Linked DNA regions of Drosophila melanogaster. The main gene of each other region encodes a partner of the protein of the gene in region 2 in a complex. Each region holds a gene or a part of one and is shown on either strand. Other genes may lie near its edges.

Region 1 (4,333 bases), on a different chromosome or scaffold from region 2:
TTTGTATGTATGTACATAAGTGAAATTTGTTTACACTCACCTTGGGATGCAATTGGGCGGCGTTCGGTCCACTTCCCAGGCGGCGAATAGCTTCATGGGCACCGGTTTCTGGCCAGTGGTCATTCCTGCTCCGGCGGACAAGCCAGCCGTTCCGGATATGCCACCAGATCCGGAGACTCCTCCTCCGCCGCCGGAACCGCCGCCTCCTCCGCCACTTTGCAGGTTGAGCGGACCGCCTCCAGGGCCGCTGCCGCCGGTGCCGCTGATTACGGCAAATTTATCCACCAACTTGGACGACTTATCGACCATCTTCATGTTGTTTCTTTGCTGGTTCCCGTCGAAAGGTATTTTTTGTGTTCTTAACTGTTGTTTATGTACTTGGGGTGCACATTATTTCGATGCAAACTGGGGAATATATGTCGTCGAGCAGGCACATAATTTTCAGATTTTCTGATAGTTTTCACAATTCAATATTTCGAAAGTTTTTTTTTGTCGATTTTCTGGTTAGCCCGCCAATACATACATATACACACGCACGAACGGACATACACGCACGTTGGGGAAGGGCGTGCCGCCGCCTTAAAAAAAGAAGCGAAGAGCTGTAGTATACACAGTGAAAAACGAGGGGTGGTTGGTGGGTGTGTGGGTTTCTTCTTTCGTTCTTTCTTTCTTTCTTGTTGTTGTGATGGGGCGCGCGCTGCAACTGCACTCGCACTGAATCAATATGTATGTACGCGCTGCGGAATCTGTTGCGGATTAGACAGCTCCTTCTCCTCGGCTGCTAGCGACTCGGAATCGGATTTGGATTCGGAACGGACTCGGAAGCTGCTGCTGCTTGTGCTGCAGCTTTGGATCGCGTCGAAAGTGCCGCGAACGAACCGTCATGCTCCAGAGTAAAAGTGCGAATGTCGCGTTATAAATCTGGCCCCAGTTCAGCTGCCTCACTCTCGCTCTCTCTTCTCTCTCTGTCACCCTCTCTGTATCACGACCCAACAATAACAATGTGTGCAAATGCTATGTGCACACACACACATAGACGAGATTTTCGCAAATCCCCACTTCTGTGTACGCGCGTGTGACTGTGTTTGAGTGCGCGCACTTAATGCTTTGCTCTCTCTTGCGCGCATAAACAAAAAAGAAAACGCCACGAATTTCGGGGAGCAGGCAAAAGGCGGCACTCGCTCTATTTCTCTTCAGCACTCGCGCGCGTTTTTATCGCGAGTCGATCACAGGTTAAACTGATTGGGTTATTATTTACGATTGGAGCGGTTTTCATCAAATATTTATGCGTTTCGGCACGTTTTATTTGGCAAAATGTTGCGGAGCAGCTATGTTGCAGCTTCCGCTTTTTGCGATGGGGAGCGGAGCAGTGTGGCCAGAGCGGATTCCTTGAAAATATCAACTGGGCGGTGCGGGTAAAATCGTATATACCAATCAATAAATAACTGTGTGTGGTCCAATAGATCATACAAATTAGAATAAGAAATATAATGGGGGCACAGCAATGTTAATACTTTCAACGTTTTTTAATTTTAATTTTGAATACCAGCCTACTTCCAACACTGGCCCTTTTAACGTTCTTGATGGTAATTTAAAATTTACTTGTGTAAAATGTATAAGTAGATTACCTTAGTTTAGTATTTTAATGTAACGTGTTTACCTGCAATGTGAACACGGTCACACTGCGAGCCTTTGTAAAAAAAATTTCATTGTTTACCAAAGGCCGGCAGCGTTTTATAAACAATGGCAGATGCGTGGGACATAAAATCACTCAAGACAAAGCGGAACACGCTCCGCGAGAAGCTGGAAAAGCGCAAGAAGGAGCGCATTGAGATTCTCTCGGACATTCAGGAGGATCTGACGAATCCCAAAAAGGAACTCGGTGAGCACCGGCAATGGCAACAAGTTGGAGCCACAAAAATGAATATATTTTTGCATTTCCAGTTGAGGCTGACTTGGAAGTACAGAAGGAGGTGCTGCAGGCCCTCAGTTCCTGCTCCCTGGCCCTGCCCATTGTCTCCACACAGGTGGTGGAAAAGATTGCCGGCAGCAGCCTGGAGATGGTGAACTTTATTCTAGGCAAACTGGCCAACCAGGGTGCAATTGTGATCCGGAACGTGACCATCGGCACCGAGGCCGGCTGCGAAATCATCTCTGTGCAGCCCAAGGAGCTGAAGGAGATCCTGGAAGACACCAACGATACGTGTCAGCAAAAGGAGGAGGAGGCCAAGAGAAAGTGTGGGTCTCACAGAAATTACTACTCTCATAAGTCTAATAATTATAATAATTTGCTGTTGATTTTACAGTGGAAGTCGACGATGTTGATCAGCCACAGGAGAAGACAATAAAACTGGAGTCCACTGTAGCGCGGAAAGAGTCCACAAGCCTGGATGCTCCGGACGATATTATGATGCTGCTATCCATGCCTTCCACCCGCGAAAAACAGAGTAAGCAGGTGGGCGAGGAGATTCTTGAGCTGCTTACTAAGCCTACGGCCAAAGAGCGATCCGTGGCTGAGAAGTTTAAGTCCCACGGCGGAGCGCAGGTCATGGAGTTTTGCTCCCACGGCACAAAAGTCGAGTGCCTGAAGGCTCAACAAGCCACCGCCGAGATGGCGGCCAAAAAGAAACAAGAAAGAAGAGACGAAAAGGAGCTTCGCCCGGATGTTGATGCGGGCGAAAACGTCACCGGTAAGGTACCCAAGACAGAATCGGCAGCCGAGGATGGAGAAATCATTGCGGAGGTTATAAACAATTGCGAAGCCGAGTCGCAGGAATCCACCGATGGCAGCGATACCTGCAGCAGTGAGACAACAGACAAGTGCACCAAACTGCATTTCAAAAAGATCATCCAGGCTCACACGGACGAATCTCTGGGGGACTGCAGTTTCCTAAACACCTGCTTCCACATGGCCACCTGCAAGTACGTGCACTATGAGGTGGACACCCTGCCGCATATAAACACAAACAAGCCCACGGATGTGAAAACCAAATTGAGCCTCAAGCGCAGCGTAGACTCCAGTTGCACGCTCTATCCGCCGCAATGGATTCAATGCGACCTACGCTTCTTGGACATGACGGTCCTGGGAAAGTTCGCTGTGGTGATGGCCGATCCTCCCTGGGATATCCACATGGAATTGCCCTACGGCACAATGTCGGACGATGAAATGAGAGCACTGGGCGTGCCGGCACTTCAGGATGACGGCTTGATCTTTCTGTGGGTCACTGGACGAGCCATGGAACTTGGCCGCGACTGCCTCAAGTTGTGGGGCTATGAGCGCGTGGACGAACTCATCTGGGTAAAGACCAACCAACTGCAGCGAATTATTCGCACTGGGCGCACTGGTCATTGGCTAAACCACGGCAAGGAGCACTGTTTGGTGGGCATGAAAGGCAATCCCACAAACCTGAACCGCGGACTCGATTGCGATGTGATCGTTGCGGAGGTGCGGGCCACCTCTCACAAGCCGGATGAGATTTATGGTATTATCGAGCGTCTAAGCCCGGGTACTCGCAAGATCGAGCTCTTTGGGCGTCCGCACAACATCCAACCGAACTGGATAACCCTGGGAAACCAACTGGATGGCATTCGACTGGTGGATCCGGAGCTAATTACGCAGTTCCAGAAGCGTTATCCAGATGGTAACTGCATGTCGCCAGCTTCTGCCAATGCGGCGTCGATCAATGGAATACAAAAGTAGGATTAAAATAGTATTTGCTGTATGAATTGAGACCTCGACAAGCCAGAGCTGTGTACAGACTCAATTATAGTAAGATAAATTATTATTAAAGCTTTTACAAACCGAAATGGCTTATGTGGAACATTTAATAATGAATGAAGGCAAGTCCATCATGCAGACTAAAGTTAAATTTGCCCTTTTGGGAATTGAAATGACTTAAACATCAAATGCCATTAAATATCACTATATGTTAATCCACACATATAGATAGGTTTATTGCTCATACTAGGGGATTTGCGCGTATTTACAAAAGTGCGATATCACCGAACCCGGTGATTCTCTAGATGTCGTATATATTGGTTTATATAGAACGCAGTACGTGTACATATCACTATCAGCTATGCACGATATTGGTTGTTTCGTTACTCGAATATGCTGGTAACAATAGCTTATTTGACTTATCAGAGAGAACATGGTTTATGTAAGTTAATATACGATTAGAAATGCAGCGTACACAATGTGCTCGACTGGCCACTGCTCCAGCCCAATTCCTGCTAGTGTACTTGATGAGTGTATTTACAAGTCAGGAATGAGAGCATCGGCATGTGTCCGTTCATAGTTTGCTTTAGTTTTCGTAACAATAAATTTGGATTT
Region 2 (6,968 bases):
ACAAACAAACTCTCAGCCGAAAGGATATCTCCTCCGATCGGAACAGAACTCGCTAAGCTTTAGACACCCCACATTTCCCCATGGTAGTGTAATCAACTTGTGCCATTCGAACTGCCTAGTATTTGTTATTAACTATTTAATATGGAATCGGAAGTACGTTTAACCCCCTTGCAGGTTGTCTCACCACATCCCTACTCATTTTGTACATTTCGATTGAAAGTAGGGTAAAGCAAATATCAAACTATGCCAAGCTTGCAGGCCTCTTTACCAGAACATTTTAGCCCGATCTCAAGTTTAAACTCTTCTCACAGACACAAACGAAACAAAGGATACAAACACACTCGCTGGCAGCCACAATTGTACTACATACATAAACATATTTCGAATTCAATCAAATACAAGTAAAACCATTTGTCTAATGTGCTAAAAGAAGAAACTGATAATAAACACAAGATAATTTCGAAAATCAAAACGATTGTTTTGCTGGGCGGCAATTGAAATTAAAGGACACTGGTTTTTTGAAATATTTGTTATGCTTAACAATTTATTTTAACACAAGTTTATATTATTTTACACAACTTTCATAGTATTACAAAAATGCCTTAAGTTGATAATTAAAACCTAATTTTGCTAAATGACAAGTTTTGTTTTGACCAAGCTTTCTTTTCAGCTTTTCAGTAGATGCCGTGGTTAAAAAACATAAATAGTGTATCAGTTTTTAGCATTATCATTTAGCTCGATCGTATTATTGTAAATATATGTGCTGAAGTTTTACACTGTTCTACATAATGCATTTCGTATGTAAAGCAGTGACTTCTAAATAATTTGCGAATTATGTATGTCTACGCCGCATGCAAACGAAATAATAAACGTATTTTACAAGACAATGTGTAAAAAAAATTAAAGAATCTAAAAGATAGGTTAGAAATATAAAATGAAGTCTCTCTCTGTTTTGAAATCTCAATTCACAAAAGTAAACGTCAGGAATTAACGATCAATTTGACGAACTCATATGGAGTGCACCCTTTTTTGGAAAAAGGTTCGCCAGCGCTTAGGTGGAGTAGTCGACTGCTCCGCTGCCGTTCTGCTGCATGCGGACGGACCGACGACGGGTCAGGATGCGGCCCGGTGCCGCCGGAGCACCTGGATCGCCGCCCTCAACTGGGACACCCACTTGCACTCCCGTTTCCGGGATTATTCCCGTATTGCTGTTATTAACAGCCGCAGCGGCGGCAGCAGCCTCTTCGCTCGCCATTCCGGCCACAGCGTTGTCCACGATCATGGGGACGGCCACTGGTGTTGTCACTGGCTGATGATCCTCCTCCAGCTGGGAGTTGCGACGCGTGGTAATGCCTCGCAGCTTGGACTTTTTGGGCGGCAGAGTACGTGGGGCGGTAACTTCCCTGATGGGCGGCGCTTCCTGGACGTTATTTCCTACTGGGGTGGGAGTCGGCACCACCACTACCGTTGGAAGGGCTTCCTCCTCTTGGTAGTTTCGTTTGCGGGCTAATCGCGCTGCATTTCCGTTCATATTGCTGCCATCATCCGACAGTGGTATCTGTGGCACGGCCGCGATCTGTTCGTTGTTGGTATTCCCATTGTAACAATCCGGATTCGTTGGGTTATTCGCCATGCAAGCGTCCTCGTGAATGGTCTCTAGCTTATTTATCGTCGTGTTGGTGCCACCGTTGGTGGCAGCCGCTGGAGCCACAACCTCATCCTTGATGGCCTGTTTCAACTGGGCGTTCTCCTTCTCAAGCGTTTGTATGCGATCGCGTGTGGTCTTTAGTTCTTGCTGCAAAAACAGAATGGTGCTCTGCATGCCCTCCACATCCTCGTCCAGCTCCTGCAGGAAGTCGTCCAACTCTAAATGGTAAAGGAGTTTACATATCTATAAGTTTCGATCCCAATCCTAGTTCAGATTTAACCTACCCGACTGCGATTTCTTGACCTCTTCGCTGAAGCTCTTCTGCATGGCCAGTTCGGTCTCCAGCTTGGCCAGTCTGCCGTTGGAGGTCATCTTGCCCAGCTCCTCGTTCTCCTGATAGAGCAGTCGGCACTTGGCCATTAGGCGTTTGCCGGTATTAGAGTCCGGCGTGAACTTCCATGCGGACAGCTCGTTCTGGGTCTCCTCCAGCTTGGCCTTGGTGGCCTTAAGTTCCTTCTTGAGCCGCTCGAACAGGAGATTGACCGCAGGATCGAGCAGAGCAGTGCGCAATGCGAGGGCAGTTGGCGCCTGTTGGGCCTTGTACTCGGCAATTTGGCTCTAATGGGGATTACGGGTGCATTAGTATTTGAGAAATTTGTGTATATTAAGGCGAGTACCCACCACATAGTCCTGGAATTCTTGCTCCTTGTTGGCCAGCCGTCGCATGAGGATCTTCTCGCGTCGCTGGGCGTCCGCGCATTGCTGAGCCATGCGGACCTGTTCCAGCTTGAGATTCTCGATCTCATCTGCGAATCGAAGGATAAGGATTAGCTAATAATGGGGTCTAGATAACGGGCGTTCCAAGCTGAGAGAGCCACTGTCTTTTTTTTTTTTTTTTGGTTCGCACACGAGATATAACAATATCGTACTATATATACATAGATATTTTACAAGTTCTTAATGGGCAAGGCAAAGTGTTTGTTTTTTTAGGTGGAACTTAATACGAAATCATACCAATGCGTTGCAATCATTCGTGTAAGTTCGTGACATGGTCGGTGGAAAAGGCCGCATCCCGTCGTCAATCTCTGGCTGATAATGATATTGATTTAGATTTTGATTCGATGCGAGTGTCACAACTTGAACCACTTGAACTTGGACAACACGATATCGATTTCGGTATCGAATTCGCTTGCGGTTTGGATTTCGATTTCGATTGCTTCGTTATCTCTGGCATTATCATTGGCACTTGAATAACTTGAACACCTGCCATTATTTGCATTTTGATTTCTTGCTTTTGCTTATGCATTTGCATTTGCATCGAACTTGATTGGCGATTGAATTTGAATCTTCGCGGCATTTTCGAACTTGCATACACTGTGGAAAACAACGATGACTGATTGGTATACATATTTTTTGTGGCAAAACTGAAAATATTTTTGAAAAACACTTGCAAAAAACTCGACGCACACACAATGGGCTTTCGGAAGCTTTTTCGTATGCCTATGCATGGATGTATGTATGCATGGATTTCAAAAGCTTTTCCCCTTCTCTTTTTTGCGGCATTTTCGAACACTCTTTTGTCATACAAAAAGTTTATTGACTTTGCATTTTTTGTTGGATTTGTTGTGCAAACACGTACATATATAACTTCGCTTTTGTATTTACTTAGCCAAGCAATTATTTTATATTTATATATACTATTTGATCGGGGCAAACAAATGTGTGCATGTGCGTGTGTCCCACATTGCATGTTAATTGATTGATTGGCGGCCAATTAAGCGTTTAAAAATCAATTAAGTAAGCTTAACAATTGTGAATATACACACTCACACACAAACGCACACATGTTCGCCGTATTTTGGCGCCATTTATTTAAACATTTGTATTTGTTTGAACACACGAGGCAATGTTTTTTTCATTTGACGTTCACTTCTTTAACACAATTTCAACAGAAAAAGAATTTCAACTTTATTTTCTCTTTGGTTATGCACTGTCACATTTTCAATTGATTATTTAATATTATTATTTATATTTAGGCGCGACGAAAAGAGCGTGAGGGGCGCGAAGAGAGAGAATAAGATGGGTCCAGGGGGTGGGGCAGGGGACGCAGACACGTTGGCTCTCTTCTTCTCCTCTCCACTTCTCTGCTGCTGTGCTTCTTCTTCTTCTTCAACGGGCACGTAGGCAAACGAAAAGTGGTCGCAAAACGAAAACTGTACACCGCAAAAACGACGGAAAACGAGGAAAATCTCCGATTAGGATTCTCTACTATTATTACTTGATATGCTCTATTCATTTGATGTTATTATCAGCCCGGTTTTCTCATTAAGATTATATAAAATCTTAAACTTTACTTCGTTAACCTTATCTTCTTATGATTCATTTTATAATTTTTTATTTTAAGTACGATTGCTTTCAATATTAAAGCTTAGCTCAGCTTACTGGTTATAATTGGTTACGATTCTCATATATTATTTATGATTATTTAACTCATATTTTATATTTTAGATAGTTCTGTTGCACAACACTTTGTAATCACTTGATAACTTTAGGCGTCAGTTGCCTTTTAACTTAGTTCATATTTAGGTATTATAGATTATTATATGCATGGTCCTTTTTGAAAGCACTTTCACTACATTCGACGGTTTGCTCGAGGTGGTGTTGAAAAAAATAAATAAATAAAGTTAACCAAAACGCCGCTGAAAGAATGTTCGTTGCAAAGAGTGTTCGCTTCGATTCGATTCACATAATATATACGTTGAGTTCTTTACCGAGTGTTTTTCATAAACAAATTCAAATGACACAAGAAACCCAAGTGGAGTGGGGGCAGAAATAAACTAAAAGACTACGTTTACTTGTTGTTTATATATTGCATTATTTATACAATTTACACAGAGTCAACACTTTGGATCGTGGTTTTTTCCTTTTCTTTTTTTTTTTGTCGGTATTCGAAACGAGTATGTATGTAGTATATAGGGGGTATTATATAGATCAGATAGATCTCTGATCATATAGCAGTGTACCAAAATGTGCAAAATACCTTCGAGCAAGCGCTGTCGCTGTTCGGCGGCTGCAACAGCCTCTGCAACAGCTGCTGCATGTTGCTGCTGCTGCTGTTGTTGCTGCTGCTGCAAGTGTTGCTGTTGCTGCTGCTGCTGCTGCTGCTCCTGATGGTGATGATGGTGCGGATGCGGATGGTGATGATGATGGTGGTCCTCCAAGCCGGAGGGCGTTGGGGAGGCGGGGCCGCCAGTGGCCCCACTGTTTTGGCTGCTGTTTAGGATATTTAGGTTTTGCTCGTATTTGGTCGGGGGCATTTTGTCGTAACTGTTCATACAGGGTCTTTGATCGTCCATAGTCATTGCAGCGACACTCATTATTTGGATATTAAAACGCTGTGCTTGTTACTCTTGCTGTTGTTGTTGTTGTTGTTGCGGGTCCTTTGCTGGCGTTGTTGCTGTTGCTTTTCATAGGGGCCGCTCGCTCGCTCTCACACACGCACGCAAACACACACACACACAGGCGCTCTCACCTCCTCCAATACCACACGCACACACAGGCAAGCTATCGCTCACACCAATGGCGACGCGTATGGCGAACGTTTTGCAAAACGTTGATTTCGCGTACTTTTCGCGCTTGCTCAAAGCTTAATTAATGATTTATATCTTTATTGTCCTTTAATTCACACTTTTCATATGTTTTGGGTCGGTTGGGCTCACTTTTACGGCGATATTTTTTAATTTTTCTGCGCTGCGAGCTGATTTCTCGTTTGCTGCTGTTAACTGTTGTTCGCAATCCAACATGGCGTCGCTGAAAAATACCAGATTTGCCATCGACACAAATGCAGACCTGGGGTGCGTGGCTCGGATATGGGGTAGCGGAGACTCAACCCAGTTCCGTTCACACTGCCACAAATTTTGCCAAATAATTATTAGATAACAAATTTATTTAACTTCTAAATTGCACTGATAATTCCTTCCTTACGTCTACCGCCATAGCTTTGCATCCAATACTAACGATATTTACATAGTTAGAAATAATTAGGAACAATCAAATACAAGTGAGAAAGTTGTATCTTACGTTACTGTTTATTTTTTTGTAAGATTTATTTAGGGGTCACACTGGTGGACTGTTTTGGATATTGTTTTTATATTCAAAACGCAAAAACATGGCAGAAACCACTGGTGTGCAAATAAAACTGGAACAGCAAAACATCAAGGAGCGCCTGAATCTGCACGTCAAGCGGCGCCTGCAGCAGGATGCGGATAATCCCGCCGAGAGTCCCGAATTGCTGCCCACCGATGCGAATGCCAAGCGCAGCAAGACGAAAGATGTCTCAAAACCAAGAAAACCCTACCAAAAACGGACAGAAAAACCGAAAACAGAGGCGACCAAGTGCAAGAAAGGTATTTAAGTTGATTAAGCAATAGATTCCCCCAAATACATTGTTATTTTGCAGTTGGACAATTGGGCAGTCCGGCGGGTGAAGTGGATCCAATGGATGACCAGGAGACGGAAGGCTTTTCCCCGGAGGCGCCGGATGGCAAATCCGCCAGACGGGATTGCTGCAAAAATGCCGACATCCTCAACATAGTTTTGAACGCTAAGAAACGTAGTTTAATGCAGGATCCTGAAGTTCAGGCCTTCTGGACCGAAATAACCAATTGCATAAAGGGCTGAAAGCTTAACTGATCATAAGGGTCATTAGATCATAAGGAAATATTGTTGATGTTCGGGATATTTGTTATATGAACAACATTAAATATCTAATATTAGGGCTGTTGTACAAATATGTAAATAAAATAAAATAAGTGTTAATCCAAAAATTGTTCTATTATTCTAAATAGTTTCTAAATTTGTTTAAGAACTGGAAAAAAGCTACAAAACAAGTGCATACATTTGATCTATATAATGTGAAGAAGTAGTTAACATTATATAATATTTCAGTACAGATTTATAGCAGAGCAAAGCCGGCAGTTTTTCGGATTGATATCTTCAGTTCCAACCCTATTAACATAATGACATGAACCGACATTGCAAAAAAAATATATTTGTTTTAGCTATAAACAATCTGATAACAATATTGAAAGCAATAATACTCATTTGAAATTGAAATTTCTAGCTACAATGCTTTAAAATTAAGCAGTACTTTTTAAAAAATTTTCATTTTGTAGAAGCCAAGCAAAAATATTATGAAATTTATAACATAACATTGTTTTGAAAATGTTTTTTAGTATCTATAAAAATCCAATCCTCAATCGGTAATTTCTAAATTTTGAGAGAGAAGTAGTAAGCCTAGAAGTTTTAAAATACTTTTTTA
Region 3 (8,020 bases), 9.5 Mb from region 2:
AATCCGCCTGACTGACGCTTGGTGGCGTGGCCATGGACGGATTGGAGCGCCTCTGCAGCAGGGCAAGCACCATTTGGCCAAAGACCTGCCACAGCTCCTCGAAGGCCTGCGGCGGCAGATTGGTCAGGCAGCTTTGGTTTTGAGGTAGAAAGTTGAACAGCTCCTTGGCGAGCTCCCTGGAGGATCTGGCCTCCTCCTTTACACTATCCAGCATTGTTCGTGAGGGCGGCCTCGAGGCGGACACCTTTATTTGTGTCGGCAGGTCGGTAACGAAATCAATCTCGCGGTGTATATCACACAAAGTGGTACAGGTGGCCACACTCGCATTGGTCGGTACGTCCTCGAGCTGCAACTCCTGCTGCAGATCGCTCAGCGGACTCATGGGCTCAATTACGACATCATCTCGCCACGATAGCATTTCATCAAGTATCTGCCGAATATTTGGCAGGGGCTTTGGTTCGGGAAAGCATGTGCCCACATCGTGGTGCTTGATGAAGGAGGCTGTAGTGGTTCCCCGGGTGGTGGTGGTGTTCTTGTGTTGCGTGGCCTGGTTGCGCGTCTCTATCAGACCTTCCACTTGCACAGCAACAGAGCAAAGCGCGGGCTTGGGATCAGCGGGTTCCTCGTCGGTTTGCGTAGATTGGTTGACTCCGGGCTGATGGGCTTTCCGTTTGCTACGTGAATTCGGGCTCTTTGGCGTGGGCACGCTTACGTCTATAGTCTTGCAGTGCTCCCTTAGCTTCTTCATGATGTTCTGATCCCGCCGCAAAAGTCCACAATCGTCGCCCAGCCGCTGGGAGAACTGCATGAGTATGGACAGCACATCCTTGGCTTCCACGGGTAGTCCCCGCACTTGCAGCTGCTCCTGCAGATTCTCGCAGTTCCCAACCTGTACGTCCAGCTCCTTTTCCAGCTGTCCGCATCGCTCGCCGATCTGCTTGGTGCGCTTCTCCAGCTCGATCCTCTGTTGCTTCTCCTTCTGGTACAGATCCGTCACCTCTTGGGCGGTGCGCTGCAGGTCGGCCAGCTGTTTGTTTTGAGCCTGCAGCTGTTTCACCTGGCGGATCAGCTCGTCGTTCTGGGCTATTCGCTCGGCCAGCCGGCTTCGCTTGGCGTACACATCTTGGTTGCTCCTGGGCAGCGACACCTGCTTATACGGCGCCACCAGAGCATCTTGCAGCGGTGCGCTTGGGCCCAGAAGCTGATCTATATTGAAGTCGGAGAACTCGTCCAAATTCATGTTGCGCAGACTTGTTGTTGCTGGATTTCACGTGGTTGCGTGTTCAAGCGCCACTGCGGTTCTAGAACTTGCAGAAAACAAGGAGAATCCTCATTTTCCACACAATTCGCTAGTCGGTCACGAGTTGGACAATATTAAGCTGCGCATCTGGCGATTTAATACACAAAACAGAGAAATAAAACAAAATCCGCGTTTTTCTCTGCAGCCGGTCTCCAAAACATTTCCCTTATCGACAACCCAGCACGAGCCTATCGATATATATGGTATGGGACTATTTTATGGAACTCTTATAGGTCGTTCTCACTACTTCGTTTTTGATAGTTCACACTTTATTTATAATAAGAGGTTCGAATTATAGTTTGATAATATTGTAGAGGAAGTAAATTTTGAATTACTGATAATAACTAAATTTACATGATTTGCGTGCGTCCATTGAAGGGAAACAAATGTACTCTGAATCAGTGCGATTCCCTGCGTTAGGTTTAAGCCTATGGTTTTTAGGGCTATTTTACAATCTTTTAGAAAACATTGAGAGCATCATTACCAAAAATGGGGAATATTGAGAAAAAATCCAATTCATTTCTAGACATGAGCCAATTGTGACGTTAAAATTTGATGCATTGTTTTGCGCAAGCTACTAGACTGAGACAATTTTTGTTTAGTTTTTAAAGATGTATTCAACATATTCTAAAGCATACCCTCTTGAATACCCCTACCAATTGTAGTAGAGCAATTGATGATATCGATCACTTATCGTCTTAAGTTCCATCCCTAGCAGTTGCGGAAAATAAATAAAACTTCCGGACTGTAGAAGATTTTACTGAAAAAGACTCGATTTAAGCACACAACATGGCCGACGTAGACGACGGGTCCGAGCTGCTGTTCTTCGACACTTTCTCGCATGAGGAAGTGACGGTAAGTGCCTCCAGAAGCCCCCACTCGGTGCATTCGCTGAACCCCACTTCCTCCTCTCCTCATAGGACATCAATTTGGATTTGGTGCAGTTTCCCAAGCCGGTCTTCATCACACAGGTGCGGATCATTCCTCTCGGCGCCCGAGTCCAGGCAGACTTTCCCGGCGGCGTTCGCCTGGGCGCCACCAACCCCTCCAAGTTCGACCTGGAGTTCTTCGTCAATGACCTGGGAATGCCGGCTGCGTCGGCATTCGAGAACCTCGGCCTGCTGCGTTACAACCAGAACGACTGCATTCACTTGGATTGCTCGCAGGAGAAGATCGTCACCGACGGTCTGGTGCTGCGCGGCTGGTACAGCACCATCACACTGGCCATCTACGGCATTTTCACCAACTCGGTGACCGAGCCAATCGCCAGTCCAACGCTGCCCTGCGAGCCCGTGGGCCCGGAGATAGCCAACCTGAGTGGCGAGGTGCTCCTCCAGGAGGATGTGCTGAAAGACGAGTGGCAGGAGCCGATGCAGGCCGAACTGCTGACCGCTCACAAAGGAAATGTCAGCGATTACGATCCGGAGGACATGGAGTATGGAATGTCGCGGGATCATTACCACCAGCATGCCGAGGAGCAGGAGCAGCGAGAGATGCGACGACTGCGTCGGTCCACGCATTCCACGGATCACTCACCGCCACCGCCCAGAAGATCGCACACGCATTCGGAGAGCAACGACAGGGAGTACATCAGGTGGTAAGTGGTTATCTGTTTTATTTATTATATTCAGACTTATCACAGACCTTTCATTGCAGTTCCCGCGACAAGGGCTCCAGGGATTGGTCGCGTTCACCGGAGTATTCCAGCCATCGGTCACGTCGCAAGCGCTCCGAGAGATCTCGCTCCGTTGTGGACGAGCACAAGTGGCCCAGAACCCCGCCCGCGTCGATAGACTCACCGACACGTCCGCGTTCGCCAGACACGATGGACTACGAGGACGAGGACTCGCGCTCCCACTACAAGATGCAGTCATCTCACTACCGGCACTCCTCCGAGTCGCTGCACCGTGGTGAACGGGATCGGGACGATGAGGACCGATCGTGCACGCCGCAAGAGCAGTTTGAGCCCATTCTCAGTGACGACGAGATCATCGGCGACGACGAGGAGGACGACGCAGTGGATGCGGCTGCCATTGCGGAGTACGAGCGGGAGTTGGAGGCTGCTGCTGCCGCTGCTCCTCCGGCCATCGATGCTTTCGAGCCGTGGCAGAAGCCACTGTTGGTCTTTGAAGGGGACATGGCAGCCCACTTCTGCAAGGAGCTGGAAACTCTGAAGCTGCTCTTTAAGAAGCTGGTCCTGCAAACCCGCTGTGAGAATGTTAATGCCTTCAGCGAGGAACATGGCGCTAGTGTGGACGAAAGGGAGCAATTTGTGTACTTGGGTGAACAACTGAACAACCAATTGGGTTACCTAGCCCAGCACTACAAGCGGAGGAACTTTGTCCTGCAGCAGTTCTTCGGAAACGATGAGCTACATCTGCGACAGGCGGCTAACGTGCTGCAGATTGCCCTGAGTTTCCAGGCGGCATGCATGCAACCACAGCCAGCTTTTAAGATCCGCCACATCAAGCTGGGTGCGCGAATGGCTGAACTTCTGGGCAGTAGCGAAGAGCTCTTCCAGCACTTGTTGAAAGAGCACAAATTCGATATCTTTGAGGCGGTGTTCCGGCTGTACCACGAACCGTACATGGCTCTGTCCATCAAGCTTCAGCTCCTCAAGGCCGTCTACGCCCTGCTGGACACCAGGATGGGTATCGAACACTTTATGGGAGCGAAGAACAACGGCTATCAGATGATTGTTGAAGCCATCAAGACAGCCAAGCTGACCAGGACGAAGTACGCACTGCAGGCGATTATAAAGAAGCTGCATTTGTGGGAAGGCCTGGAGAGTGTACAGATCTGGTGCCGTCGTCTCTTCGTGGACCGAATAATCATACCTGGTAATCGCGATCAAATGGAGGACACAGTGATAACTTGCCAGCAGATAGAGTTTGCCTTCGAGATGCTGATGGATGCACTGTTCTCCAGCCAGTTGAGCTACTTGCAGCCGCGTCGCTTTCTGCCCGTGTCCAAGAAATTCGAGGTGGTGACCGATCCCACGGCGCAGCGCAGTTTCGGAAATGCCCTGCAGTCCTACTTGGGACAGAACTCACTGGCGGAATCCCTGCTGGTCATGTTGGCAAACTGCAAGGAGTTGCCGGCCACGACGTATCTAAGCATGCTAGACTTGATGCACACCCTTTTGCGCTCGCATGTCGGCATTGATTACTTCGTGGATGATGCTTTTCCTGTAACGCAGACGATTGTGGCCATACTGCTGGGCCTGGACGAGGTTCCTCGAAACCCGGAGGAAAAAGAGGAGAAGGCAGAGAAGTCGGATGCAGAGGACAAGGCAATGGAGGTCGAAAATGAAGCTGTGGAAGCTGGAGGCGAGAAGCCAACTCCACCGACGGCCGACGAGGAGGGGAAGCCAGTTGCGGCCCCGATTTCCGTTCCAGCTCCAGCTGCTGCTCCTCAAGTGCGACCCAGGCCGATCCTGCGCCCAGTACTGCCACGCCTGGCCAGGTTGGGCATCGAAATGTCGTACAAGGTGCAGACGCGTTACCACCTGGACGCCATTGCTTACGCTGCCGCGGCTCCCGAATACGATGCCGTCAAGTTGGCCACGCATATGCATGCCATTTACTCGCAAACCTGCGATCCGGCTGGGCGGCAGCACACCGTGGAGGTGCTGGGCTTGAATAACAATCTTAAGATCTTCATGGATCTGATCAAGAAGGAGCAGCGTCTGCAGACGCAACGCCAGCTGAGTTCGCCGGGCACGAAGTACAAGAGTCCGGTATTGAGCTATGCCGTGGACATGGTGGACGCCTGCGTCCGCTACTGCGAGCAGTTGGACTACCTTATCGAGCACGGAGGTGTGATCCTGGAGCTGGCCAAGAACCACGAGACCTTCGAGCCCTCGGTGTCGGCCGTCCTGCAGGAGATGTACGTGTACATGAAACCCTTAGAGGCCATCAATGTGTTCGTATACGATGACATTATGCCGCTGGTGGAGGTGATAGGACGCTCCCTGGATTACCTAACCACTTTTCCCGGAGATCTGATAATGGCCATGCGGATTTTGCGCTATCTCTCCATAAGCAAGCCGCTGGCAGGTCAGAAAGCTCCTCCAGTGACCGAGGAGCTCAAACATAGGTTCGTGGCCCTGCAGCTGTACGCGGCGGATGGTGTCCAACTTTGCATCCAGATCATGGAGCGACTATGCGCCTACTTCGAGCAGCCGGGTGCGCACGCTCCCGCCCTGATGACCATCCAGGGAGTGCATTGCTGCCAGATCATGCTGCCAACGCTACAGATCCTCCGCGAGCTGCTCTCCTACGCGATTCTGTGCAGAGACGGCACCTACAAGGACCTCACAGCCATCGATCACCTGGTGAAAGTGTACTACCTGCTCTACTACTTCCCCACGCGCTGCCAGGCGGGACCCGAGGTGGAGCAGTGCAAGATGGAGGTGGTCCAGACCCTGCTCGCCTACACCCAGCCGAACGAACAAGACGAGGAGTCGCTGCACAAGTCCCTTTGGACCCTGATGATCAGAGAGGTGCTTAAGAATGTCGATGGTCCCGCGCACTTCATTCCTGGTAAGCTAGACTTTGCAAGAGATCTGATCCATCTAATGATTCCTTCCGTACAGGACTGAAACTTTTGGCGGAGCTGCTTCCACTGCCGCTGCCTATGCCCCAGCCGCTATGCGACCAGTTGCAGCAGCAGCACAAGCAGCGTCTGATTACCGAGCGGAAACTGTGGTCCGCCCACTTGCATCCCCAGAGCGGTCAGATCGCCAAGCTGGTGGAGGCACTGGCTCCGTCCAGTTTTCCGCAGCTGTCCGAACTACTGCAGCGAGTGTGCATGCAACTGTCCGACCTGGCGCCCAACATGACGCTGCTGATCGCCAAGACGATCACGGAACTGCTGTGCAATGAGTACCAGACATCCAACTGTATTCCGACCACCAACCTGGAACGGCTGCTTCGTTTCTCCACTCGCTTGTGCGCTTTTGCCCCTTTGAAGAGCTCCATGCTGTCCATACTCTCCGGAAAGTTCTGGGAACTCTTCCAGTCGCTGCTGGCACTGAACGAGTTTAACGACGTGGTTTCCAACTGCCAGGAGGCCGTTCACCGCATTCTGGACAGTTTCCTAGACTCGGGCATTTCGCTGATTTCGCACAAGAGCACGGCTTCGCCCGCTTTGAATCTGGCTGCCGCACTGCCACCCAAGGAGCTCATTCCGCGAATCATCGATGCGGTCTTCAGTAACCTGACAAGCGTGGAGGTCACGCATGGCATATCGATTCTAGCGGTGCGCAATCTGGTCATCCTCACGGAGCACGAGTAAGTTCTGAATATCACTCGCACGCTTTTAATATTAATATTATCTATACCGCCAGCTTCACTTTCTACCATCTGGCGCAGTTGTTGAAGCAAAAGATCACCGAGTTCCAGGCGTGGATGGAGCGCGTGATCCTTCACAACGAAACGGTGGAGTACAATGCCAACATCGAATCTCTGATCCTGCTGCTGCGCTCTCTGACCCAAATAGAACCGCCGCCCGCCATGTCGGCCATGCCACACCGCACTCTGAAACTGGGCGCCACAGAGTTGGCTCAGCTGGTTGAGTTCCAGGACATTGAGCTGGCCAAGCCACCGGTGCTGAGCCGCATTCTCACCGTCATGGAGAAGCATAAGGCAGTGGCCAATGAGGCGGCGCTGAGCGACCTCAAGCAGCTGATCCTGCTGCAGGCCTCTAAGCAGGAGATTCTCGCCGGAACCAGTACGGAGACGCCACCAGAGGCGGAGGGCGAAGCCAATCCATCTGCCAGCAGCTGCAGTGCATCTCTGACCGTGGAGCCCTATCTGCCACAGGCCGAGGGCATTGTCACACAGTACGAGGCGCGTCCGATCTTCACGCGATTCTGCGCCACCGCCGAGAATGCCCAACTAACGGCGCGCTACTGGCTGGACCCGCTGCCCATCGAACTGATCGAGGACATGAACGAGCCGATCTACGAGCGCATTGCCTGCGATCTCACGGATTTGGCCAACGTGTGCCTCAATCCGGACTTGAATGTGGCTGGCGATAGCAAGCGGGTCATGAACTTATCCGGCTCGCCCCAATCCAATCGGGAGATGACGCCCACGGCGCCTTGTTTCCGCACGCGCCGTGTGGAAGTTGAGCCCGCGACTGGTCGACCCGAAAAGAAGATGTTTGTGTCGTCGGTAAGGGGTCGTGGTTTTGCTCGGCCACCACCTTCCAGGGGCGATTTGTTCCGCTCCCGGCCGCCCAACACCTCGCGACCGCCATCGCTGCACGTGGACGACTTCCTGGCCTTGGAAACTTGTGGCGCCCAGCCCACAGGACCCACCGGCTACAACAAGATACCCTCAATGCTGAGAGGCTCCCGGGTGGGTCGCAACCGAGGATCTCGAATCTCGGCAGCAGCTGCCTTTAGGTAAAGTGTCACGATTACCACTTAGCAGGATAACGCTAATGGGCTCTTTTTACTCTTTTAACAGGCAAAAGAAGATGATGCGCATTGGTTCGCCCTCCAGCTGGGCAGAGTCCCCCGGATCGTATCGGTCTGCCTCGGACTCCCACTTCAGTAGCAGCGACTCGCACTATTCGTCGCCCCACTACAGTGGACGGCCGCGTGGACGAGGCCTGCGTTCCAGGCCATCCTACCTGAGATAGGAGGACATTGCAGCCCAACCCGCTTCTCACTGACACTTCCCGTAAACTCGGCAAACGAACCAGAACTAG
Region 4 (6,859 bases), on a different chromosome or scaffold from region 2:
CCGCAACTTTCTACACACACACATACCCTTACCTTAACTGTACATCGGTGGACTCACTCATTTGGCTGCGATCAGAGAATCTGGAAGTCCGGAATCCTTGCTACGCTCTTTGCGAACAGCTTTTCCATCGCATGTGATAGCCCAGCACATACATACATACATTAATTAGTATTAGGTCTGGAGATTGGGTACCGCTAATCCTTAGGAGATATCTTAAGTTGTATAATGTACGCAGATTATTCCACGATGCCTGGCCTGAGTTGCTTATTACGAATAGCCTAACACACATACACGATAGCCGTTCGTTATGAATGTATGTATTTATTGAAGTAACATTTATTTTAACATTGTTTTCGGCACTAGGTTTCTTATAAAACTGTTCCAACGACGATATAATAAATCTACTATTAAAAATACCAAATGTTTCCCATCCTTTCGTCGCTACCACAAGCACCACATCCTTTCCAGAACTTCCGCAATGCATTGAGTTCCGAGCTCAGGAATGAAATGAAAATACACTCTGTTTATTGGGACGACACTTTATATTTCGAACATGTATTAATGCAGTTGATATTCACAATTTTGTATAATTCATAATCAATTTATAATCTACAATTTTTATAATGCAATTCATATTTCACAATTTTCACAATTTCCAAGTTTGAATCAATAATCGAAATCAAGTTATATCTCAAACATTAAGCTTATTCCTAAAATCCACCTAGTAGTGGTCTCGTTTCGTCGCCTTGCCCTTCTCCACGCCCATAAAGATCTGTATATCCAGTCGATAGTGACGTGGCTTTCGGTAACGCAGCTCTCGCTGCACGCCGGGCATCGGATCTCATTTGACATCCAGAAGCCTGCGCTGGAACATTTGCATTGCCAGGTTTCGCAGTCCCTCTCCCACGATGGGAACACTGCGCGGGAACTCGCATTCGCGTGCTGGCAATCCGCACAGCTGGCGGCGCAAGCGCAAATCCTGGCGAGCACTCAGAGCTCGGCTTCCCGGACCGCAGACATTGCCCACCAAACGCTGGCGCTCGACGGCGGCGCTGCGAAGACCCATCTGCACGCAGGCCAGTGGCTCCAGTTGCTGCTGGCTGGCCAGGAATTCGCGATAGTCGAGCAGTGGCGAGGGTATCTTAGCCGGAGGCTCCTCGTCTCCATCCAGTTCGCGCTGTTGGCCCTGTTCCTTCTCCTGGAGCAATTGCTGGCGCGCCTCCTCCATTACGCAACGGGCGTAGCCCTCGCCCGCCATTCCGAACGATATGCCCAAGTCGAGGAGCACGCGATATGGCTGCCATCTCTGCTTGGCGGATGTGCCGCGATCCACGCCCTGTTGGGCCGCCTGAGCATCGCTGGCCTGCTGACGGGTCTCTGCTATCAATCCTTGCCAGTCCACGCCCAAAGCATCGCCAATGCCTGCGGAATGGGAGATGGGAAATTACATATAACTATCGCCTCTAACTGTAATCATTCATCATTTCCACCTGACCATTGAATACTAATCAAATAAATGTGACCATAAATCCGAGTCCGAGTCAAGTATTGACAAGCATTGTGACTACCATGTTGTCATCGGATAAGGAAAAATGTTTATACATGAGTGACTCACCCTTGTGGCGTGCATCCTCCTCGAGTTCGCCATCGGATATTTCCTCAAAGTCCAGCACCTCGTCCCCTTCCTCGCCCTTGATCGGATGCCCAGCCACAATGTGGAGTGCCTCGCTTTTGACCTCATCCGCATTGGTGTCCATTTCCTGCTCCGTCTCCGTGGGCAGCTCGTTCTTGGGCCGCACCTTGTCCGTCTTATTGAGAATATCGTCATCGCTGTCGCTAATCTCGCTCAGCTCACCCTCGACGGCGCTGGTGCGGATTAGCTCCTGTTTAACTGGATTGCCCTCGGAAGACAGCGACTGATTCAGGTTCAGGCTCTGGGTCGGCGAATCTTGGGCGCCCAGTTCAGGTGTGCCTGCGGAGTCCTCGGACGCATCTTCCTGCTTGATGCACACGGTATTTAGTTTGCTTACCTTAAACATCGAATGAGGATTACAATAAGAGAAATTTATTACTAATGGAAAGTTATGGTTTTACCATTTCCGCTGGACAAAATGACTACGTTATTGCACAACGGTTGGTGAACAATTGATTTCGAATGGATGAACGTTGCACTCAGCTAACATAAACACATTTATATAATTATAAACAAAGACGAAATCATTGCCGCCAAATGATATGATAGGCCGCATCCGATGTCTCTGCAGCGAAGTAAACGAAAATCAATCGCACCTGAGCCAGTATTCCGGGATTGGTGGTGGCGTTGGCGGCGCTTTGGGCCGCAGCCTTAGCCGCTGCCACTGCTGTGGTGGCCGCCGCCACAGCACTCGCCTGTGCGGCAGCATTTGGTTTGGCCGCGTTGAGGAGTGGATTCAGGAGTGGTGTCTGCGTCGGCGAGACCAGCGGTGCGTGCGTGTGCTTCTTGAGGAAAGTCGACGATCCGGGCAGTCCGCCGTCACGGGCGCCCAGTGCGGCGCCATCTCGGCCAGATCCATAAGGCAATCTCTTATGGGGAAATCCGCGTGAGTAACCACCAGGCGGTTGCACCGGCAACGTCATCAGCGGTGGCGGATGCGATCGGTAACCGGGCCGCTCGCCGTGATCGCCATGACCGTGGCCTCCGCGCCGGAATCCTCTGCCGGATCCTCGTTCGCCCCTCGGATGCACATGGTGGTGCGGTGAAGCTGGATGCGGATGCGATGGTGCTGGCGGCGCGTCATCGTTATCCCGCCAATCACCTCCAGAATTGGACGACTGCTGTTGCCAGCCGCGTGGCTTTTCCCGCTGATCGTGCTCCAACCAAGCGGGCTCGTTTTTGATAGATGGCCTATCGCCGCCAGCGCCTCCGCCTCCTGTGTCCGGTCGATCCTCACGATCGCGTTCGCGTTCCCGATCGCGCTCTCGTTCCCGCTCTCGCTCCCGCTCGTCCGCATCCCAGTCGGGCTCCGAAGCAGAATGGTGCTGCTGCTGCGAGGGAGGTCCTCCGCCCGCATGAGCTGGGGGTTTGCCCCGCTTGGGTCCGCCAACAAAGCCACCCGGTCGCCCAGGGGTTCCACTAGGTCCGCCTGGGCCGCCACCAGCTCCCTCCTCCTCCCACTCGCGTTCCCACTCCGGTCGGAAGTCGCCACGGGGTCCAATATTACGTTCCCTTTCGCGGTCACGTTCTCGTTCCCGATCACGCTCCCTGTCCCGGATTAGACGTTCCCGCTCGTCCGGATAGAGGGTGTCTTCCGTTTCGAGGTCACGGTACTCGCGTCCTTGCAGCTCTCGTTCCCGCAACTCGCGTGCCTCCAGCCAGGCTTCTCGTTCCCGCGAGGAATAGCGGGCATCTAGATAGGCGCGTTTGTAGGCTCTAAAATAAGGAATTCCCAAACAGCGGATTAGCTAATGCCGATTTCGTGGCCATAAACATTAATGAGAAAAGGTTCCCGTTCTGCTACCTAGTTAACTATGTTCTAGGTAACAGAAAAAAGTAACCAAAATGGTACAGTTTCAGCTTTTCGTGGAATAGTTAAGTGCAGAACCTAAACCTACCTCTCCCGCTCCTCCTCGGAGTACAGTTCCCGCGGATCCCGCAGTCTGGGTGCATAATGCTCAGGCATGGGACTGAGGTCCCTGCGCCGATACCTTCGCATCTCGTCGATCAGCCCGTGGCCGTGTCGTTCCTCCAGATACTCTTGCTCACGCTCGTAGGGATCCAACTCGCGCTTATCGCGGACATGACGCCCGCTCCGTTCGCGCTCTCGTTCCCTTTCGACGGTGTCCAGCGATCGCTCCCGGCTGCCATACGGCGGAAGATCCAAGTCTCGACCGGGACCACCGCGTTTACCACCTTCCTCTTCCTCCTGACGACGCAACTTTTCGCGAGCCAAGCGTTCCCGCTCCCGTTGACGTTCTTGGCAGCGAGCCAAGGCCTCAGCGCGCTCCTTATCCCTGGCTGCCTCCCGTTCCGCACGCTCGCGCTCCCGATCCCGACGATCTCGCTCCCGCAATGAGAGATCGTGGCGTTCGCGCTCTCTTTCTCGTTCTCGCTCGCGCTCCCTTTCCCGCTCCCGTTCCAGGGACGGAGTACGTCCACGTGCGCGGGTCTGGATGATGATCTTCTCTCGCGACATCAGTTGGTGATGCATTCGCGAGGATGAGCTGCTGCTGCCGCCTCCAAGACCAGAACCTAAACCTTAAAGTCAAGCAAAATTAATGGGTTAGTGGGTTGAGCCTAGACATAACTATATGTAGTATCTGATAGTTACCTGGACTCTTTTGCCGCTTACCCACGATGTCCTGATGGATGCGAATCTTGGTGGTGGTGGTAGTGCTGCTGCTCGGCGGACTCCTACTGCTGCCCAATCGATGATGGTCTCGCTCTCTGTCTCGTTGGACGACGCGCAGCTTGTCCCGCTCCCGTTGCTCCTTGCTGGCAGCCCGTAGCCTCTTTCGCTCGGCCAGCTTCTTTAGCTTGGCTCGCGTCGTCGGCGACAGGGAACGATGGACGTGACCACTGAGGGCGGCGGCCGCCCGTTTCTTAAGGCGCGCTTCCTTCAGTTTCCGTTTGATATGATTTCGCTTGGCCACCAGCTTCTTTTGCACATGATCCCGTTTGTCTCGCTTGCGGCGCGACGACGATGGTTCATCTCCGGACGAGCTGCCGCCGCGCCGTGAGCTCTTCTTTTTGCGATGATGACGCTCCGCGGAGCGCGGATGATGCCCATGGCCGTGGGTATGGGGATGACCGTGGACGCTGCCACTGCCGCCGGGACCACCGGCGCCACCAGGTACGCCCACCCCCACGCCGACGCCGCCCACGCCCTGCTCGCTGTCCGTGCTGCTGTACGAGCTGCTCCCGCTGTCGGAGTCCGAGGTGGAGTCCGAGCTGCTCGAGTGCGTCGCACTGTGACGGGCGGCCTTCTTGTAGCGGCGCAGCGACTCCTTGGCCTTCTTCTCCATCGCCGCGATCTCCGCTAGCCTGCGCGCCTCCGTTTTGGCTGCTTTCTTTTCGTACTCCGGTCGAAAATCAGCACGGCTATGCGGCTTATAACTAGTTGCAGCGTGTCTTGTGGTATAATGTCCTTGTTCGGAGGCGCGGACTTGCCTTGTTGTCTATTTTGTTGGCGTTTTCTTTAACTCTTCTTCTTCTCTATTTTCCTCTATATCTTCGTGTTTGTTGTTATCGATAGTCGATTGGCAGGGCATCGCGACCATCGATTACAGTCAGCACGGCGGTACATATCGATCGGTATAAGTTTGAAAATATTGTTTATTATTGTATCACATTATTATAATAAAATATAATTAAATAATTAAGTGCCTTTAACTATAAATAAATATTAATTTAACATTAAAAATATTATTAAAATTAATAATATTAATTAATACTTGTATTTATATTAATATATTGTATTTTTGTAACAATTTCTGCTTAAAATGAGTTCGGTTTTGGATTGAATTACAATTTCTATATCAATTTACCGGTTCAGCAACGGGGATTCAAATCTGACTTGTTATCCATTTTTATACCCGTTACTCGAAGAGTAAAAGGGTACCCTAAATTTGTTGAAAAGTATGTAGCAGTCAGAAGAAGGCGTTTCCGACCATGTACAGTATATATATTCTTGATCAGGAGTCGATCTAGTCATGTCCGTCTGTCCGCCATGTCCGTACCTAGAAGGTTGAGATCCAGCATACAGATTCTAGAGACAAAGACGTAGCGCAAGTTTGTTGATCTTTTTTCGCATTTTTATTAATCTTGTAAATTTCTATCGATTTGCCCAGAAAATGATAAAATTTCGCGTTCTCACATCCACTAGCTGAGTAACGGGTATCTTATAGTCGAGGAACTCTCTTTAGTTGATTTAAATTCCACGCATCCAAAACATTGTATAAAGCAGCCTGTTCTACTACTCAGTTAAACTGAACTTTTCATTTCGAAAAGATTTTCAAATCCAGCTGGCTATGCCTCTAGTGTCAAGTCGTATTACGGGCACTTCACCGGCTTCTCCTCAGTTTTGCTACACAGTTCGACACTTCAACACCTCAACACCTCAACACCTCATCGCCTCGGCACACATTCTCTCTCAACAAAAAAAAAAAAAAAACACATATATTTTTATAAGTACACATTTTAACTTAAAGTCTCATTCATTCGCTCGAAAACCGATGAATTTGTTGCGCCGGCAGCCTCGGCTGCTGAATAAACGGAGCACGTGGCTGTTTAGAAATTACGTGTTGGCCAACAGGGATGTGTCCGAACCCGTTTCCCGTCCTGCGGCGCCTATGTCCACCCTATCGATACCCGGACCAGCGCTGGCTGCCGCCACCCCAGTATCCGCCGTATCCCTGGTACCCCGGTGCACCCACTCCAGCCTCCAAGGAGGTGGACAAGGAGCAGGTTAGTTCTAAGTGAAAAGTTTTCTGATTCCACAATTTTCTGGGTTGTCAATGACTTTGTCATAATGACATTTCATAAATGACACCTGCACTTATTGATATGCTTAACTGAAATTTCTATATTCATTAAAGGAGGAAGAGGGCTCAGAGGATCAGCCACCGGAGGATCAGCCGCCGGAGGAATCGCCACAAAACGACAGTACTCCGGAGGAGCAGCCCCCGCCGGAGCCGCCAAGCCGGGAGGAGCAGCCCCCGCCGGAGCCGCCAAGCCCGGAGGAGCAGCCCCCGCCGGAGCCGCCAAGCCTGGAGGAGCAGCTGCCGCCGCCGCCGGATCCGCCAAGCCCGGAGGAGCGTCCACCGGAAAGCCAGCTTCGGGCAACGCACCAGCAACGCCTCCACCTCCACCACCTCCTCCGCC

What was found.
Region 1: fl(2)d (region 2) and Mettl3 share a complex: the UniProt entries of both Drosophila melanogaster proteins name them as parts of the WMM complex.
Region 3: fl(2)d (region 2) and vir share a complex: the UniProt entries of both Drosophila melanogaster proteins name them as parts of the WMM complex.
Region 4: fl(2)d (region 2) and Flacc share a complex: the UniProt entries of both Drosophila melanogaster proteins name them as parts of the WMM complex.

What each region holds. Positions count from the first base shown.
Region 1 is NT_033777.3:24,030,454-24,034,786, forward strand, and holds Mettl3 (methyltransferase like 3), read left to right. Parts: upstream 1-1,703; 5' UTR 1,704-1,743; coding exon 1,744-1,882; intron 1,883-1,944; coding exon 1,945-2,238; intron 2,239-2,306; coding exon 2,307-3,700; 3' UTR 3,701-3,804; downstream 3,805-4,333. Other genes in the region: KrT95D (krueppel target at 95D), read right to left, coding at 41-315. UniProt on the Drosophila melanogaster protein: Catalytic component of the WMM complex, a complex that mediates N6-methyladenosine (m6A) methylation of mRNAs, a modification that plays a role in the efficiency of mRNA splicing and is required for sex determination.
Region 2 is NT_033778.4:13,819,104-13,826,071, forward strand, and holds fl(2)d (female lethal d), read right to left. Parts: upstream 5,451-6,968; 5' UTR 5,026-5,450; coding exon 4,689-5,025; intron 3,073-4,688; exon of another isoform or gene 2,663-3,072; intron 2,455-2,662; coding exon 2,330-2,454; intron 2,267-2,329; coding exon 1,933-2,266; intron 1,867-1,932; coding exon 1,052-1,866; 3' UTR 521-1,051; downstream 1-520. Other genes in the region: CG13339 (uncharacterized protein), read left to right, coding at 5,817-6,054, 6,108-6,328. UniProt on the Drosophila melanogaster protein: Associated component of the WMM complex, a complex that mediates N6-methyladenosine (m6A) methylation of mRNAs, a modification that plays a role in the efficiency of mRNA splicing and is required for sex determination.
Region 3 is NT_033778.4:23,360,324-23,368,343, reverse strand, and holds the start of vir (virilizer), read left to right. Parts: upstream 1-1,988; 5' UTR 1,989-2,089; coding exon 2,090-2,155; intron 2,156-2,220; coding exon 2,221-2,897; intron 2,898-2,956; coding exon 2,957-5,844; intron 5,845-5,897; coding exon 5,898-6,594; intron 6,595-6,650; coding exon 6,651-7,712; intron 7,713-7,776; coding exon 7,777-7,951; 3' UTR 7,952-8,020. Other genes in the region: Ice1 (uncharacterized protein), read right to left, coding at 1-1,240. UniProt on the Drosophila melanogaster protein: Associated component of the WMM complex, a complex that mediates N6-methyladenosine (m6A) methylation of mRNAs, a modification that plays a role in the efficiency of mRNA splicing and is required for sex determination.
Region 4 is NC_004354.4:18,888,452-18,895,310, forward strand, and holds Flacc (Fl(2)d-associated complex component), read right to left. Parts: upstream 5,186-6,859; 5' UTR 5,002-5,185; coding exon 4,308-5,001; intron 4,235-4,307; coding exon 3,592-4,234; intron 3,410-3,591; coding exon 2,290-3,409; coding exon of another isoform or gene 2,218-2,289; exon of another isoform or gene 2,095-2,217; intron 2,031-2,094; coding exon 1,616-2,030; intron 1,423-1,615; coding exon 842-1,422; 3' UTR 527-841; downstream 1-526. Other genes in the region: SdhBL (succinate dehydrogenase, subunit B (iron-sulfur)-like), read left to right, coding at 6,211-6,442, 6,574-6,859. UniProt on the Drosophila melanogaster protein: Associated component of the WMM complex, a complex that mediates N6-methyladenosine (m6A) methylation of mRNAs, a modification that plays a role in the efficiency of mRNA splicing and is required for sex determination.